3 linked regions of the Caenorhabditis elegans genome follow. The protein of the gene in region 1 purifies or fractionates together with the protein of each later gene. This does not show direct contact. Each region holds a gene or a part of one and is shown on either strand. Other genes may lie near its edges.

The links.
Region 2: the proteins of saeg-2 (region 1) and egl-4 purify together in Caenorhabditis elegans (affinity purification with western blotting, with the first as the bait; one study listed by BioGRID). This does not show direct contact.
Region 3: the proteins of saeg-2 (region 1) and hda-2 purify together in Caenorhabditis elegans (affinity purification with western blotting, with the first as the bait; one study listed by BioGRID). This does not show direct contact.

The regions. Positions count from the first base shown.
Region 1 is NC_003281.10:9,237,824-9,243,651, forward strand, and holds saeg-2 (Suppressor of activated egl-4 protein 2), read left to right. Parts: upstream 1-2,539; 5' UTR 2,540-2,598; coding exon 2,599-2,670; intron 2,671-2,861; coding exon 2,862-2,945; intron 2,946-2,991; coding exon 2,992-3,249; intron 3,250-3,479; coding exon 3,480-3,734; intron 3,735-3,783; coding exon 3,784-3,905; exon of another isoform or gene 3,906-3,970; intron 3,971-4,184; exon of another isoform or gene 4,185-4,246; coding exon 4,247-4,373; 3' UTR 4,374-4,691; downstream 4,692-5,828. Other genes in the region: dat-1 (Sodium-dependent dopamine transporter), read left to right, coding at 5,152-5,170, 5,547-5,665, 5,714-5,828. UniProt on the Caenorhabditis elegans protein: As a likely component of a histone deacetylase complex, together with saeg-1 and hda-2, functions downstream of the cAMP-dependent kinase egl-4 to regulate the expression of genes required for egg-laying and foraging.
Region 2 is NC_003282.8:1,845,091-1,851,574, forward strand, and holds the start of egl-4 (cGMP-dependent protein kinase), read left to right. Parts: upstream 1-2,980; coding exon 2,981-3,136; intron 3,137-4,574; coding exon of another isoform or gene 4,575-4,601; intron 4,602-6,484. Other genes in the region: ccm-2 (CCM (Cerebral Cavernous Malformation) gene homolog), read left to right, coding at 1,618-1,759, 1,830-1,888. UniProt on the Caenorhabditis elegans protein: Promotes chemoreceptor gene expression in response to increased cGMP levels by antagonizing the gene repression functions of the class II HDAC hda-4 and the mef-2 transcription factor.
Region 3 is NC_003280.10:8,019,204-8,024,953, forward strand, and holds hda-2 (Putative histone deacetylase 2), read right to left. Parts: upstream 3,359-5,750; 5' UTR 3,344-3,358; coding exon 3,211-3,343; intron 3,167-3,210; coding exon 2,407-3,166; intron 2,346-2,406; coding exon 1,715-2,345; 3' UTR 1,577-1,714; downstream 1-1,576. Other genes in the region: Early embryogenesis protein zyg-11, read left to right, coding at 1-555, 602-940, 998-1,178; SWI/SNF chromatin remodeling complex subunit swsn-7, read right to left, coding at 4,070-4,198, 4,247-4,562, 4,613-5,394. UniProt on the Caenorhabditis elegans protein: Probably responsible for the deacetylation of lysine residues on the N-terminal part of the core histones (H2A, H2B, H3 and H4).

The sequences.
Region 1 (5,828 bases):
TAGAATACGACTGTTTTGGCTTGAAAAGTCTGTTAGATTGTTTCAAATGAAGTGTCAAAAGAACCAATAAAGCATGGTCAGTGAGTGTTGATCGGCAAAAAATGGAGCTGAAGTGTAAGTAAACTTCAAAGTCATGTGGGTGTAAAAAAGAAGGAATTCGAATTTCAACGGACCGGAAAACATCGATATGTGCCATTTTCATTTTTTTTATTTCCTGGTTTTCGTTCAATTTTATGCTTTAGGCTGCTGAGTCCCACAAAAACACTTTTTTTGTAGAAAAGAATGCAACAATAATTTGTGCGAAGATTGCATGGAAGAAAGGAAAAAAAGCAACACAAAAAATAGAAGAGGAATGCAAGGCAGTTGCCGTCAACTTGACGGGCGGGAGGGAAAATGCAAGAACGACAGGGCAGGAGGGTCTTGAAATGGCACTTTGTGTATATATTAGAAACGGGGAATTCTGGAGGAGGAGAAGCACAAAATGAGCACAGGAAGGAAGGAGAGAACAGAGCAAGACGAGTCTTTCAAAGGAGAAGAGGGCCTAATTTCAATGAGCTGCGCTTGGTCAAAGACTTCTCGAAAATCAATGCAGACAGAGGGAAAGAGAGAGAGAGAGAGAGCGAGTGAAGAACAGGTGCTAGGCTTCATATCTAGAGCTGATAGTGTGAACTTATGTTTTCAGTGATGCATTTGAAAAATTCATACACAATTTCAGTTTTTTTTGAGTCTCTAAATTATTTTTTCCAGATTCTAACCAATATTTTAAATAAAACTGAGTTTTTCCACAATAATAATTAAAACACTACAGACCTCTACAGAAAACTACAATCAAGTGATCATAATAGGATCATGCTCCCCCACAAATTAGATGAACACAGAGCACAAAAATAAGAAAAACAGCTATCCAGACAGGCAGACATATCGGTCACACGAAGGGACAAAGAAGGGAAGAAAAGTATTCGTGAGCACAAACAACAACCCATCACTTTGTTTGTGCAAAATAAAGACCTAGTGAAACTGCTTCCACGAAAGCGACTGCCGTCTTGAATTGCGAAGGACCCACCCGCGGCGGTTCTCATTGTTTTTTGGAGCAACTAGAATTCGAAATGAACGGAACCGAAGATGAAAATAATAATTTGAAAAGATCGATGAGAAAGAGGGTTTTCCATCGCGGCTTTGAGACAGACAGCGATCATTGAAAATGGATATTTGTAGTGCAAACTCCTTGCGCGCCAACACAACAGCTAGCGTGGTGAACAAATCGGAGGAGTGTGTGAAATGTTTTGGAAATATTCAGAGACATATTGATGTTTATAAATTTGATTATTTCTCGAGCGCTAGAGAAAATCTTGATTTCAGAAATGATGCTGGTTGACACAAACGCCAAATGGCAACAGCTGAACTCTACTGGAAAAAAGCCTAGCTATGACGCAAATGGTTTTCAAGAATATCCAGGTACGCTTCGAGAGATATCACCATGGCATGCTCATATTATAGGTTAAGAACAAAGACGGCCTTTCTGAATATGACATGAGGAAGAGGAGGAGAAAATTTTATATACACTCAATAAATCAGATTTATACTAATTTAGTCCGTTCAAACTAAACATTTTTATTCTAGACAGCTTCACATCAGCAGATATAAGAAGTAAAAAATTTGAAACAATTTAAATAGGTATAATCAGAATCAATGTCTTGACTCACTATTACGCTAACATAGGAATTAAATATTACTCCGACGCAAAATTTCCGTAATTTTGCGTTAAAAATACGGTATCCGGTCTCGGCACGAAATATGTTGTTAAATACAAGAATGTGCGCGCCTTTAAAGAGTACCGTTCTTTTAGCGTAAGAAACGCAAGATTTCGAGTATGGACAATATCAAAACTGGATGACAAATTAAAGAATGATCGCTTTCGTTTTCGAAGAACAGATTTTTAAACTTTTTTCACAACTTTAATACTATTTGACAAAGATAGAATCGAAAATACGCAACACGGAAGAATATAACAAATGACACAAAAACAGAACCGTCGAACTGATTACTGTGTGATTGATTGGTTTAGTGCGAACAAGTGTTTGTCCAAATGTTCCAACCGGATCGCCGATTTGTCTCTTTCCTCTCACCACGAAATAGAAAAACAAACATTAGGTTTATCAAAACTGACCAATGTCTTTGATCTTATCAAGCTACTACTCTCAATCTACCACCTTCGGAGAAAAGTGAACATAGGAAATGGAAGAAGAGGGAGCATGGACATCATAACTAGTAGAGAAAAAAGCGAAACAAAAACCACAAACTCTGTGCGATGGGCAAAACCAACGGAGAAGTGAGTTGAGAGAAGGCAGGGAGAGCGTGTCAGGGAGAGAGTATGAGGAAAACATGCCGCCTGGAGAGTCGCAGAGAGTGCTGCGTCTTTTCTGCGTCTATCCAAAAGACGATAGTATTTTCCAGCCAGCTAGCATGACTGCCACTTTTATTTCCTCTTCTCTTTTTTCTACGTAGTCACCCATATACACTCAAATCTTAAAATTTAAATTTTCAGCACTGAAAATGTTCGAACGGCAAACTGGAAATGGGAATGGCAACAAAATGAATATGAGGATAGTGATTCTCGATGAATTGTTGAGCAGAGAAATGGATGGAAGCAACGATGGATCGTCAGCAAGAGTTAGTTCTTTTTAAAAATTGTGAACAGTGTTGGATGATGCATTATGACAATCAACTGATTTAATTTAAACATTGCCCTGCAAAAAGTGTGAATTTTAATCGAGTTTTTTGTGGAGGATGAAAAAGAGTTAAATTTTGCTAAAAAAGCAACAAAAAACTCACACCGGAAAAAGAAATTGGGAAAATTTCAGGTAAATTCATTGAAGCACGTGATAAAAAGGAACAAAATGGATATGGCAGACGATGCACCATCTTCGTTGGATCTAATGAGACGGGTATGGACTGTTAATGTTTCAAGTAATTAAAATGAAAATTATTCAGATTTTCCAAGCGGAAATATCGAGAGAAATCCATCAGATTATGGAGAGGCATACTAGAACAACGCTATTACCAGCTATCGAAAATCTCCGCAAAAATGGGCATGTTGTTGACGAATCAGTTTTGAATGGTTTGTACTGTAACATTTTGGAGGCTGCAAAGAAGCCATATCAAAAAGATCCGGAGCCTATGCCACCGATTTGTACAAATGGAAATGGGTTCCTTGATATCAACAGTCAAGAACATGAGAATAATTTAAAGGTAATTCAAATCTCAAATCGAATAAAGAATGAAAAACTATATTTTTCAATTCTAGAAAATATCTGGAAAATTTTCGCCGACTGTTTTCAAAAAAGGACCTTTCAAAACTATTTTAATAGATACAACGGAAGTAATTAAAGCAAATTTTGGCGACGATTTCAAAACTTTAATCACTACGGCGTGGTTAAAAAATACAAAACAAAGTATATCAAAAATGCTGATATTTTCAGAGAGGATACGAATCGGATAGCTCAGACGTGTCTGGAGTCAGCCACTGCTCCGATGCTAAAAGACGACGAGGTCGTCCACGTAAAGATGAAGAAGCATATCGACTAGAAATGACGCCACCGACAATGAACGAAGTCATTCGGTGGAATCCGGACAGAATCGATGTGAACACCCGTTTTATAACGGCGACAAAAATTGCGCAAGTGATGGGAATGCCCCCGTCGATTCTGTTCAACAAGTATCCACGAATGTTTAGAGTAAGTAACTGGAAATCGGCAATTTTCAAAAACTGTTCTACCGTTTTAGTATTCCTGCGATGAAGATGACAAAAATATTCTACATGAGCAAAATCTTCTCATCAGGGCACCCGGTAGATGCTATCTTCTGGTTGCAGAAGATGCTCGTCAGCTAGTTCCCTCCACTTACTTGTAAGTTTTTTCTACAAATTTAAAAGAGAAAACCAAAGAAAAATATAAAGGAAATGATTATCCTACTCCAACAAAACTCTCCGAAAAATAATTATTGCTCTAAATCGCATCGCGCTTCGCCGAGCAGCACTTCCCTCACCTACCGATCAAAAATAACAGATTACAACGAAACAGGTAGAAAAGAAGTAGAAAATATCTAGAAATGAGAGAAAAATTGGTTGATAATAAAAAAAAGTCCGTAAAAAGATAGCAATTAAAATTAGAGCGATTGTCCACGAGAAAATTGTGAGAATATTCAGAGAGTTCTATAAATTTTTGAAAATTTAGCATTTTTATTTCAGCCAAGATGTCCTCAACGTCTCATTCCTCATCTCCGAGCCACTGCTATCAAAAATTCGCCAAAAAGCGGCATCAACCTACGAGAAGTACAAAGTCTTTCTGCCCACACAACCGAATAATTATCTCTGAAATGTTTCTAGTCGTTTTTGTATTTTAAAGCACATTCCCAATTCTGAATACTTTTCTGAAATCCATGAAATGGAACTTGAATCCAGTTTTCACTAAAACGACCTCATACACTTTCTCTCGTATCCTCAAAATATCTATGACATTATCATTAGCTTCGCTAGTTTCATTTCTTTCAAATATTATGCATTCTTAAATTCCGATACCCGCGTGCAAAAGTGCTCTATTGAGCAACTTTGGGATCATATGTACACACCAATGCCCTTTTCCCAAATCTTTTCCTGTCCTTTTCTCTAAAAACAATAAATCCATGCCTATTCCAGTATGACCCCTTTGAAGCAGATATAATCGCACAAACATATACACATAGCTCGGATAAATGTAGAAAAAGAAGAAAAGAAGTATAAGTAGATAGATGCTTTCCGGCAATTATCCACCGCACCGTAGTCTTCACCAACTGAGACTGCGTCGTTAGGAGACGCCGACATGATTCAGAAGCAGAATTTGGAAGAAAAACGACGATGATATTGAGGCTGGCACACATACACCGGAATATTCGACATGCCACCACATCTAGATTCCAAGGCAATCTCTACCTCTTCCCATTCTTTCGGTTTTTTTGTTCTGACAAGAAAAGTGGATAGCTACGGGCTCAATGAGCTGATTTTATTTTTAAATATCTTAAAACTATACTAGATTCATGTGTTTTCAGGTCCATATTCCAAATTAGTCGAAAAGCTGATCCCGCTACGGTTTACTCGAATCTCAACAATTTTTAGCCATGCAGTTGGTGCCTACAGGTATTTCGTTTTTTGCCCGACTCTTATTTATCTGTAGACTTTCGTTATAAAACAAAGCTATCTTTCTGAAATTGTTATTACGTAGACGCCTCAAGATGAGAATCTTCGCCAAATCTTACGCACATGGGTCTCGCCACGCAAACAAAGAATATGATACAATAGCGGTCTGCAAATTGACATGAGTTACAGTAATTCGTTCTCCGCGTGGCGAGACCCGCGGCTAAAGTTCTCATCCTTAGAGACCAACGTAACACTCTGGGTATAGTATAACTTACCATTAAAATTTTTTTTTAAGTTTTATAATTCTTCACAGGGTTTAACATTAGATTAAAAATTAGTCGGTGACTTCTAACTAAAGTTAAAATCAAATCTTCAGACGATCCCGACGAAAAAATCGGTCGGACGTCTAATGGCATGCAAAATGCAACTCTTCCTATTGATGGACCAGTTAATACAGAACCCAAAGATCCAGCAAGAGAACAGTGGTCTGGAAAGGTAAGATCCATCTTGCCTGTAATTCTACATATGAACCCATCTTTTCAGCTGGACTTCCTTCTCTCAGTTGTCGGGTTTGCTGTAGATTTGGGAAATATATGGCGATTTCCATATCTTTGCTTCAAAAATGGAGGAGGAGTATTTCTGATTCCTTATTCTATAA
Region 2 (6,484 bases), on another chromosome or scaffold:
TCATTTCGCTCATTTTCTCGAAAAAGCGTGAAAATTTGTGTGTGCGCACTAGCACTTGCTCATAAACAGACAGAGAGAGGGTGAAAAATTGGAGCGAAAAACGAAGATTAGTGTGGAGAGAGGACATTCTTTCTCTCTCTCTCTCTACTTTTCTTCCCACTAGCTGCTTCTTCTCTCTCTCTCTTCTTTCATTTTTGGCCTGAGGGCAGGCACTACTGCAACATTTCGCCTTTGCCCCCCCCCCGCTCGAAAATGAAGTTATCACTTGTTTTTGTGGCGGCGACGGCGGACAGTGATAAGGTGATAAGGAAAAGGATAAGACCCCACAAACCCCGTTTTTTTTGTAAACTTTCCCCAGAGAAACTGCATGTTTACTGTGTAAAAATTCGGGTTTTTTTTTTCAAATTTTTGGGTTGATCCGCCATGTTTTATGGGTTCCGAGCTGCCTAGCTTTCTTGTGAACGTGGCCTAGTTTTCAGAAACTCGGCCACGCAGAAAATCGAAAACATGGTGCATCGATGGTGAAAAAAACTTGATTTTTTGCCCCAATTACCACGTGGTGTCAGAGTGTCTCATTTCGGCTTGATCTACGTTGATCTACAAAAAATGCGGCAGAGTTCTCAACTGATTTCGTATGGATAAGAAGGTGCCGACGTCACAATTTTTCGGTGAAAAAATTCCCGCATTTTTTGTAGATCAAAACGTAATACGTTTTGATCTACAAAATTAATGGGACAGCCTGGCACCACGTGCAATTGTTCTAAAGTTCCCCAAAACGTCGATGCATCATATTTCTGATAATAAAATTCTACCATTTTAAACTGATTTGCCCAACAAAATGCCCCAAAATCCCTTAAAAATTTTACAATTTTTGCCCTCTGACGTCATTCTAAAAAGTTTATTTATTGGGAAATTGCTTGGTTTATTTTTAGTTTTTTCTCCTTGAAATCCAAAAAAAATCTGACATTTTCAAGAGCACCGCATTCAAAATTAATGGGAGTTTCTTTTCTTTTTTTTTTTTTGAAAAACATTTCGTATAGAAATGATGAATTTTAAAGAAGAAAAGAAATTTTTTTTTCGAAATGTGAATTATCAAACAGAAAACTGAAGTTATGTTAAGTCAGATTTTTTAAAGTCCAAACTAAGAAAATTCGAAAAATTCTGGGATTTCTTTTGCTGAAGATTCCGCAAAAAAAAACCGAACATTTTCATGTTTCCCTACAAGCTTGTGGTTTTATAGCATTTTTTACAAAAATTGTGTTCTAAAAATCTCCCTTTTTGGCTTTTTTTCGCTGAAAATTTGAAATATTCGACTTTTGCCGTCAAAAACCGGTAAAAATCAATTTTCACATAATTTTTCTGTTGCAAAATATTTAATTTTATTTTAATTTTATTTCTCAATTTTTCTCCTAAAATTCAGTTTTATTGTTGGAATTCATGGAGTTTTTGCCTGAAAATGAGAGTTTAAAAATATATTATTTTCACACATGTCGTAAGATTCTGCGCTCGATCCGCATTTTTCTCCATCCGTGTTTGCGTACTTTCGTCACACGCGAGTTTAATGAAATTTAAATCGAAATTTATCAATTTTCTCATCATTTTTTCCTTTTTTTTCAGGTTCTCTCTTGTCTCCGCCCCGAAGAAGTTCCACATTTTCGCGAAATTATCAAGAAATACAATAGCGGCGAGCAAAATGTGAAGATTTTCGCGCAAAAGCTCGTCGAACTGCTCGGCCCCGGACGAAAAAAGCGTCTTTCATGTGAGTTTCTACAACACTCCCCTCTTTTCTTTTCTTCGAATTCAATGCAATTTCCTGTGCCAATTTGCAGACCTGAAACATGCGTTGAGAGCCGGCGACATGCTCCAATTCGACTCGGCGATTCTTTGAAATACGCGGGTCGTCAAAATGCGGGTGAGTGTCTTCGTCGTGAAATTGCAATTTTTCTTTTTTTTTTAAAGAATTTTTATCGTAGAAAATTCTGTTTATTTATTATTTAATTTTGCAGGGAGATGCTGATGAAGATGTGGCGGAGACGGATGGATTTCGATTGGATTTTTTCTTTTTTTTACATTTTTTTTCAAATTTTCTCCTCTAAAAGTCGGTTTTTCTGTGAAAACTACCCGCAAAATCTGAGAATTTCGCGTTTTTTTTCTGAAAAATTGCGTGAAAAACCACAATCCACTTGGATTAAGCTGAAAAATCGGCAATTTTGTATATTTTGTCAGGATTTTGATTTAAAAATCGAATTTCTTGTGAAAAATTTGCTTTTTCGGTGAAAGTCGGTTTTTCTTGAAATTTTGCACGAGGTTTCTCCTGAAAATTGGCTTTTCTTAGATTTTTTTTCATAAAATTCCCGGAAAATTTGTGGTTTACTCAAAAAATGCCCCGTTTTTCCAATTTTTTCCTGTAAATTTGGTGGTTAAAAAATGACGAATTTTTTGCATTTTGTGGAAAATATTTGTTCGGAAAAATCACAAAAATTCTCGAATTTCGTGTAAAAATATAGAGAAAAACGACATTTTTTCCGCTGAAAATTGAGTTGTCTTAGATTTTTCTGATATAATTCCCTGAAAATTAGTGGTTTTCTCAAAAAAAAATGCACCGAATTTTTTAAAAAATTCCACGTAAACATGCGCAGAAAATTCCTTTTTTTTCTGAAAATTTGAGCAAAAATTGCCGAATTTTCTTCAAAAATGATGTTTTTTTCGCAAAAACTCAAATTTCGTGTGAACATTTTCGGAAATTTATCGAAAAAACTGCATTTTTTCGCTGAAAATTTGAATTTCCTCTCGATTTCTCTCTCACTTTTCCGCATTTTTTTCCGTTTTTTCCTCCCCGCTCCGCTCAAAAAAATCAATAAATAAATACTTTTACAGATCAAAAGGTGATACCTCCGACGCCCGCCATCCACCACATCCACTCACAATCCGAAAATTAATCGATAAAACAATAAAGCGACCAGCGGAAAATCAACTGGAAATGAGCTCTGGGAGCCGTCCGTCGAGCGGCGGTGGTGGTGGTGGCGGAGGAGCCAGTGGTGGAGCCGGTGGTGGTGCTCCAGGTGGTGGTGGAGGTGGAATCCGTGGATTCTTCTCCAAACTTCGTAAGCCGTCTGATCAGCCGAATGGGAATCAGGTTAGAGTTTTGTGGGAGGTTTTTTTGCAGGAAAAATCGCTGAAAAATGATTAAAATTTACCTTTGTGTAGATTTACGGGGATTTTGGGGGAAAATATGCGGGAAAATGGGCAAAAATGATATAATTTTGATAAATTTGGCCTAAAAATCCCGAGTTATTCGGTCATAATGTGCTCAGGACTTTGTAAAGACCTATGTGGATTTACGGGGGTTCAGTGTCGATTTACGAGACTGTAATGTCGATTTACGGGGGTTCAGTGTCGATTTACAAGACTGTAATGTGGATTTACGGGGGTTCAGTGTCGATTTACGAGACTGTAATGTCGATTTACGGGGGTTCAGTGTCGATTTACGAGACTGTAATGTCGATTTACGGGGGTTCAGTGTCGATTTACGAGACTGTAATGTCGATTTACGGGAGTTCAGTGTCGATTTACGAGGGCTGTAATGTCGATTTACGGGGGTTCGGTGTCGATTTACGAGACTGTAATGTCGATTTACGGGAGTTCAGTGTCGATTTACGAGGGCTGTAATGTCGATTTACGAGGCTTTAATGTCGATTTACAGGGGTTCAGTGTCGATTTACGGGATAACATTTTCCGAAATTTTACTGAAATTCGACTAGTTTTGGAATGAAATCCTTCAATTTTGCAAAATCTTTCCAGGATTATTTGGTGTTTTCCGCAGCTCCGTGTATATTTACGGGGGCCTGTGTCGATTTACGAGAGTTTTTTTTCAATTTGGCGAACTCAACATTTGATTTGAGTTTATACCATAAATGCAGTTTTCTAAATTGAAAATTTCAAAAATCTGTGTAGATTTACTGATGCCTATGTCGACTTACGGGCGAAACTTTTGGTGATTTTCACCAATTTCAGCCAGATTTTCAAAATTTTCAGGTTTTTTGTGCACAGAAATGGTATCAACTTTGACATTTTTTACACATTTCCGGTTGAAATCCTCGGATTTTTGCTAGATTTTGTCTGAACTTCTAGATTTTCGTGACCAGAGATCATTGTCACTTTGTGTGGATTTACGGAGGAGCCGATTGTCGATTTTCTGGATTTTCTGCGGTTTTTCCGGGGTTTTTGGTGCTCCAAATGGAAAATTCTTCCGAATTATTGCCTAGACTCTTCCGACTATTCTGCTGGTTGTTCCGAGTTTTTCAACACATATTTTTCCAATTTCCCGCTCCGGAGCTCTCCGCCAATTCTGCTGCTCGGCTCTCTCCACAGGACGCCTGCAATACGACACCAACTGTTGTTTGATGGCTCCATGGGGGTCGCGTAATGATCATGTTCATGTCGACTTGACGAAATTCCTCTTATCACAACAAATTGAGCCTGGTGATAGCAGACCTGGTGGTGAAGAGTTTTCCGTATTTCTAGTCCTATATTCCGTGCTGAAATGTGTGGAAGTGTCTGAGTATGAAAAGATGATGAAGCAGCAGCCACCCAGGATTTATGTGAGTTTTTGGCGGACCGAAAACTTGGAGAATTGGAATTTGATTGGCATTTTTTCGCCTTAAAATGCGACCTAGTGGGGGCTAAATCCCAGATTACGGTAGAAATTTCAGAAGTTCAGCTCTAAAATTAGAAAAATCATCGACATTTGAGCAAGACATCAGGATTACCGAAAATCTGAAATTTTTAGGCGAAAGCTTGGATTTCCGATGGCTTTTCAGTTTTTAAAATTGACAATTTCAATAGTCTAATAATGGATTTTTCCTCGAAATTTCGCCCAGAATCACGGAAGAAAATCGATTCTCATCTGAAAATTCGAATTTCGCCTTCACCGCATACGCGCCCCACTGAGAAAGTTAGGCATTTTTTCTCATTGGAGCGTGTTTGCTACTAAATCCACGTAGATTTTTCTATTTTCCGACAAAAAAATAACTGCAAATTGATCGATTGATCTGAAAATTGATATATTTTTTTATGAAAAAAAAAAAGTAATTCTCTTATCAATCCCTATCGGCCGAACTGACGTCATGTTGTTCCCCACAGCTCAAAGCTTTCGAAACAGTGAAAACTCGGCCATTACTAAAAATGCCAAAATTCGCAAAAATTCGAAATTTTGGCAGAAAAAGGCGGCGGCCACGAGCCGAAAAATCTCGGCCACTTCACGGAGTTTATAGAATAACCGAACAATTTCTTTTGCTTTTCGGTTTACACCTGCTTCCCGGTGAAAAGTCTAGAAAAATTTGAGCTTTCTGAATAGAAAATACATCTAAATTGCCATTTTTTTCCTGTTAAAGATCGCAGAAATTCAATTTTTCCGATATTTTGGCAGAAAAAGGATGAGATTTGACCCAATCTTCCTATAAATTGTTACTTTTTCCCATAGCTCAAAGATTTCCGAACAGTGAAAACTCGACCATCACGTGGTGCCAGGTGTGTCCCATGTCGGTTTGATCTACGTTGATCTACCAGAATGCGCGGGAAATTGGACGCAGACTTTTCAACTTATTTTGCATGGCTAAGAACATGCGGACGTCACATTTTTTAGGCCAAAAAATCCCGCATTTTTGTAGGTCAAACCGTTATGGGAAAGTCTGGACCATACCGATTTGTTCCTCGGTTTTTCACGTGCTCGTGGTGTCAAAAAATTCCAGCTTCCCAGACCACGTCTCACCTGGAAAATTGATCGATTTACGATTTTTCAGAGTCGAAATTCGCAAAAATTCAATTTTTCGAAATTTTGGCACACAAAATTTCTGAAAATTGAACAATTGATCAGAAAAAAATTCGATAGTTCTTCTTATCAATTTTCTCAATGGTATTTTCTTCCTGGTGAACTCTTCCTTATGCACAAGTGTACGTGCTCTTGTGCAATTGTGCATTGCACAAAAAACGGGTGAGCCCATGCCGATAGGGACGACCGACGCTAATAGGATTTTCCTCCCGTCGTCGGGCCGTTTTTCTCATTTTTTACAAGCCAGTTTCATTTTTTTATGCCCAAAAAAAAAAGTTTTACTTCATTTTTTTTTATTTCAAGGCCCCACCACCCCTCGTCGTCATCACTATTTTTGGACGTTTTGCATTAAAAATATGTGCGCCCTCCCATTTTGCCAATTTACTTTTTTTTAATCACCTGCCTGCCTGCCCCGGCTGTGTGTCAACAACACACAGAGAGAAACACAATTTTTGAAAAAATACAACTTTTTTTTGTTGTTTTTGATCTCTGTCGCCCAACGAAATTGAGTGAAAGACTTGATTACCTATTTTCTAAGAAAATTGAATTCCCGCCCTGGGGAGACACACACACACAGGAAGCACATTTTTTCTGCAATTTTCCAAGAAAAATCTGAAAACTTGTTGAAAAATGAGAATTTCCCACGATCACATG
Region 3 (5,750 bases), on another chromosome or scaffold:
GTATAGAAGCATGACGCAGCTGCAGAAGAACGTCTGGCTTACAATTTGTAATGATTATCTTCTTCATTTGGATGAAATTGATTTCTACCGTACCTGCAAAGTTGCTCTCGACACGATGCTTTTGAATCGTGATGCCAGCGTTGAGAGAATGACTATTGCAATTGTGTCGATTGTGACTCCAAAGATGCGACCATCAGAAGCAAAGATTCTAACAACTGAAACCAAATATGTATACCATCTTGTCAAAATCATGAATGATTATCTGGAGGCATATACTCGTGAACATCGAGTTGGACACGAACGAGACAATGAAAATGCACTGTATACTCTGAAGTTCACCCTGAGTGCACTCTGGAATCTAACAGACGAATGCCCGGCTACATGCAAAGCATTTTTGGATGCTGGAGGTGTTCAGATTGCGTTCAGAATTCTCAAAGCTTTTGATTATCATGGAAATGTGCAGACGAAGGTTCTTGGCATCCTCAACAACTTGGCCGAAGTGGAAGAATTGCATTTGGGACAGCTTTGCAAAAACGAGTATATTTCTGTTCTTATGTATGTTTTTTAATTCGTTGAATTCAATTTAACCAATTTTTTTCAGTTCTTGTCTTGACGGATCATTCAACGAAGTAGATTCGAAAGGACGGTATCGTGAAGTTGAACGATCTTATTTCGCTGCTGGAATTCTCGCTAATCTTCTGACCAACACTGATGGTTGGGAGAGTGAAAATCAACGTGACGAAGCTTGCGAAAAGCTCTTGGAGCTTATTGAGCAGTATCCCACACTTCCATCGGCAATGGTCTCCTACAAATCTTTCATTCCATTCAGTCGTATTGTTAGAGAGTCAAATTCGAATGGGGCCATCATGTGGTGTTTGTGGGGAGTTCATCACGTTCTTCAACATCGCGAGAAGAACAAAGCGCCTACGTATGAGAAAGGGTACGTTTTTGATTTACTTTTTTCTTAATTTCAAAAATCATTTCAAAACATTTTCAGATACATCGAAATGTTTATGGATTCCGGGCTTTCTCCAATCGTCGAGGATATGTCCCATGGACACTCGAAACACATTCACAATCTGGATATTCGTGTGGTTCATCTCGCACGAGAAATCATTGACATTGTCTCATGCCATTCACTATCTTCCAGCCCAGTTCGATTAGTCCGTCGAGTTTAGTCATTTTTTTGTTTATTTTTTTTATTATTATTTTTGTTTAGCTTTCCCATTTTCAAAGTCCCCATCTACAGGTATATCAAATTGAAACAAGTTATATTTATACGGGTTGATATTTTTATCCGTTTCACCCATAGCAATTAGATTGCATTAAAAACTAAATTAGATGTTTGGTTTCACTATTTTTCACTTCTCCCTGTAATATGTTGAACTGTGAATGTGATTACTTCTGTGGATATTTCATCGGTTGTTTCCATTTCTTTTTCTGTACCCATCCCTACTCACAAATTTGCTCGTCCCACTTTCTTTCGCGGGTATTTTTTCGGGAGTACCATTTCCTCCTTTATGTTTGAAATAGTTGTATATTTTCAGATTCTATTGTGAATGAAAACGTTGAAGCTCTGAAATTTGGTTTATTACTTGAGAAATTTAGAGATCATGCAACAGAAAACAATATAAAATCGGAAATACTGAAAACCAACACAGAAAAGATTTTTGACAAATTCATCACAGTGTTTAATCATTAATTACATGGAAAGTTACGGAATTCCGGGAATATTGAGATCTTTTCGTCTGTCGCGATCTTCATATTTTGCTTCTTCAATAACATCCGAGTGACTTCTCGGTGGAGCCAATCCAGACCTGTCATATCCCCAGTACTGACCAATCCGACGAGGATCTTGACCCGGTGGAAATGATGGAGGTTTTGAGTCTTCTTCTACAAAGCATTCTTCTTCCATTTTCTCTGATACTTTTCCAACTTCATATTCAATTGAAGATTTTGATGATTTTTGTAGTCGTTCATTTTCTTCGATTTGCTCAATTTCGTCGAGCCTGATTCCAACAATATTTTGCATTTGAACTGATGGTGCTCCACGAATCATTCTCAAACATGCCAGCGTTTCTTTTTCAATAGAAGCCAAATATGCCGCAGAATTAGCATCATTCATTTTTGGAACCAAATTTGGGCGAAGAAGTCGTGGAGTGAAATAGTGCGAGTATAATGATGTTCCAGGGATTTCATCGTCCATTCGAAGACCTAAAATGACTCCAGTTTCAAGGGCCCAGCATCTCGCAACATTTCTAAGTGTATATCCACCACCACCAAGGACCATCAATGGTTTTCCAAGACTTTTCACGTATTTGACTGCGCGTGCATGTGCATTGAATCTTAATATGTTTAGATTTAATTAAAATATTTAGATTGCAAAAAAGTAATTTTAAAACTTACGACAAAGCAAATTGACCAAGTCTGTCTTCACACAATGAATCGGAACCACATTGAAGAACAATTGCCTCAGGATTAAAATTTTCTTCAACGCCACTTATAACACTCTCGAATAATTTTAAGTAAGGTTCATCTCGAATTGCAGCCATCAGGGGAACATTAATCGCAAAATACTTTCCGGGACCGACACCTTTGTCCATAATACTTCCAGATCCTGGGAAATATTGACCAAAACGATGAAATGACACAGTCATAACTCGATCAGAATTATTGAATGCTTCCTGAACACCATCACCATGATGAATGTCAATGTCGATATACAATACTCGTTTGTGATATTTCAATAACTCCAAAATTCCCAGCACAATGTCGTTTACATAGCAAAATCCTGAAGCTTCTGATTTCTTGGCGTGATGAAGTCCTCCAGGCCAATTAATCACAATATCATTCATTTTATGATTCAATCGTCGAGCACCTTCAACAGATCCACCAGCATACAAAGTACAGTAATCCCAAAGTCCAGCGAAAATTGGACAATCCTCTCCAATGTTAAACTGCCTCAAAACGTCATCAGGCATTGTAAGACCGAGCTTCGGTGTCACTGTTTGCAGAAAGTTGACGTAATCTTCAGTGTGAAATACAGAAATATCTGCAGCATCTAACTTTGGTGATTCAACAACTGTCATATATTTTGGCATTTCATAGGAAACTACTAAATCGTTGCACACCACAAGCCGTTGAGGTTTCATTGGATGAAGTTGGCCTGAAAAGTAAAACATTTTGCCTATTTCAGATTCAAATAAATACCATAATGAAAATGTCCGACGTCTTTATGATAATAATATGCAACATTTCTTTTTTTAACATCAGCTCCATCTGGCTCGATTATCTCATCATTATCATCGAACAGTGTATCTAGTTTGAACTTGTCTGATGACATATTTTTGCCAATTTTCTGAACAACTTTTGTTATTTCACTGTCGAATGTTGATCGTTGCATAAAGTATGATATAAAGACAAAAAACTTAGATGCTGATTATTTAATCAATGAGTATGAATAGTTCATTATATTGAAAAGAGTTTGAAAGTTGCGTTTGTAGTTCAGTAATACATGGGAAAAGAAATGTAGACTGATTTGACAAAAAAAAACGAATTTCAAGATGAAAAACGTACATAGCCACTTGTTTGGTGCAGAATACGAAATTAGAGTTTTGAACGACAAGTGATAAATGATGGGGAAAAGGGAGGGTGATGTGGAAGATCTTTTCAGTTTCTTGAAGGTAAAGACAACCGCGTTGGAATATATTAAATACAAAAAGGTTATGAATTGGTGAGACGGAATAAAAAACGGAGTTGGAGATAGGATGGAGAGAGAGAGGAAAGGAACGACCCGTTTATGTTCCGATTTTCACCATTAAATTTTGAAGAGAATGTAGATTAAAGTTGTAAATTGATTGGAAATTTTTGGAATTTGGAACTATTTTCTGAAAATAATCAGCAGTTCTGTTTATGGTACAAAGTATTGAAAAATATAAGACCGGTGGCATTGCCCGCTACGATCGTTTGGATGAATGTAGACACAAAAAAGTGAAACAAATAAGAGGAGAAGGGCACAAGGATGAAAAACAATGATAACAAGAAGAAAACGATTATGTTTGAAAAGTAGTTAGATTCCAGCTCCAGCACGAACTGGAGTAGTCTGCACGAGAGGAGATGGCTGGCTGGGAATGTGTTGTTGAATTGGCTGATGACGGTGGGGGCTAGATCCAGCTGTGAATTGCGGACTTGTTGGTGTCTGAAATCAGAATTGTACATTTGTGAAATACGAAATCATTTTTTTTACCTTTTCGTTAAGTGACGAGAAATTGAGCATTCTATTAATGTGAACTGTCGGTTTATTGCTAACAGAGGTCGACTCTTTCATCGGAGCTGATGCTACAGAAGAAGTTGGTGAGTCAGGTACTGTTGGCAATTGTGAAGAGCTTCCAGCCATTGATGATAGAGATGCTGATGACGGAACCTCCGAAAGCATTTTTTGTTGTTCTTCTTCTGCAGCAGGAGCTTGATGTAGTTCAGAAAGAAGTTGTGAGAGAGCATGTGCACTTTCCAATCGAGATAGAGCCAGCCAGCAAATGTGTGATTCGTGCCGTCGGAGTTTTCTGAAAAATTTGGAGTTCATAAATAAATATAGATTGAAAGAAATTCTCACTGTCGTCCTTCAGCTGAATATCTTGCAAGATTTCTCAAAATAAGACAGGATGTTAGACGAATACTCTTTGTCACTGGTCCTTCTGCTTCATCCGTGAGTTCTCGAGACAAGAAATTGAAAGCGTGTCTTCGGATGGCATCGAACGCGGCATTTTTCGCGTAACCAGGATGATTATTGATATCACGGGAGATAACTTCAGCACGCGGTGCTCCACGAACTGGAGCAATTCCACCACCTTCCTTTCTTTTTTGTGAAGCCGCTTTTAATTGAGCTTCATTACAGTGCGAATCCTGGATATGAGTAATCAGTGACCAACGATTACGAGGTGTTGGATCAGCACATCCGTTCCAGCGACACAGTAATCTTAGCTCCTCTGCGACGTGCTCTTCCGACAAATGTTTGAGCACGTGTGATGGAGAAGCATAATAAATGGAACAACAATCCCAATCACACATATAATCGGTAGGATTCGAAGATGGAGGAACACATTTTCGTTTTTCTGATTCTTGGGCATCATCCACAACCTCCGTTTCAACCACTTCTTTGTTTTTTTCTTCATTTGTTTCTTCTTCTACCTTTTCTGTTTCTTTCTCGATTTCCTTCTCGATATCATTTCCATTGCTAACCACGTTCATTCTCTCTAAATCTCCGTTGCAGGCAGCTGCTACAGCAACAATATGAGCAGCTCTGCTTGCCATTGACTCTTTTTTCACTTTCGAGTTACCATTGCAGATGATTCCGTTGATTTTCTCCGATTCCAATTTAACATTATCCGTGTCATTCTGAAAAATTGAAATTTCAAGGCAATTATAGATGGAGAATGGAAAGTTTGCCCCAAAAATACGGTACCTGGTATATGTTCCTTCAATGATTACTGTAATTTCAAATTTTTGTTGTTGCGGAATTTTCTTCTACTTTTCCAAGTTTCAAAGCCATGAAAAATCAACGAAAATTCCGCAGCAACAAAACTTTGAAATTACAGTAATCTTTAAAAGCGCACACCTTTTCGCCTTTAACATAAATGTGTCGCGTCGAGACCAGGTATCTTATTTTTTGCGTAAAATCTCGCGTATGGGTAATAAATCAACTTTGAAAACAAAATTTAAACAAAAATATGGACAGAAAATTATTAAATTAA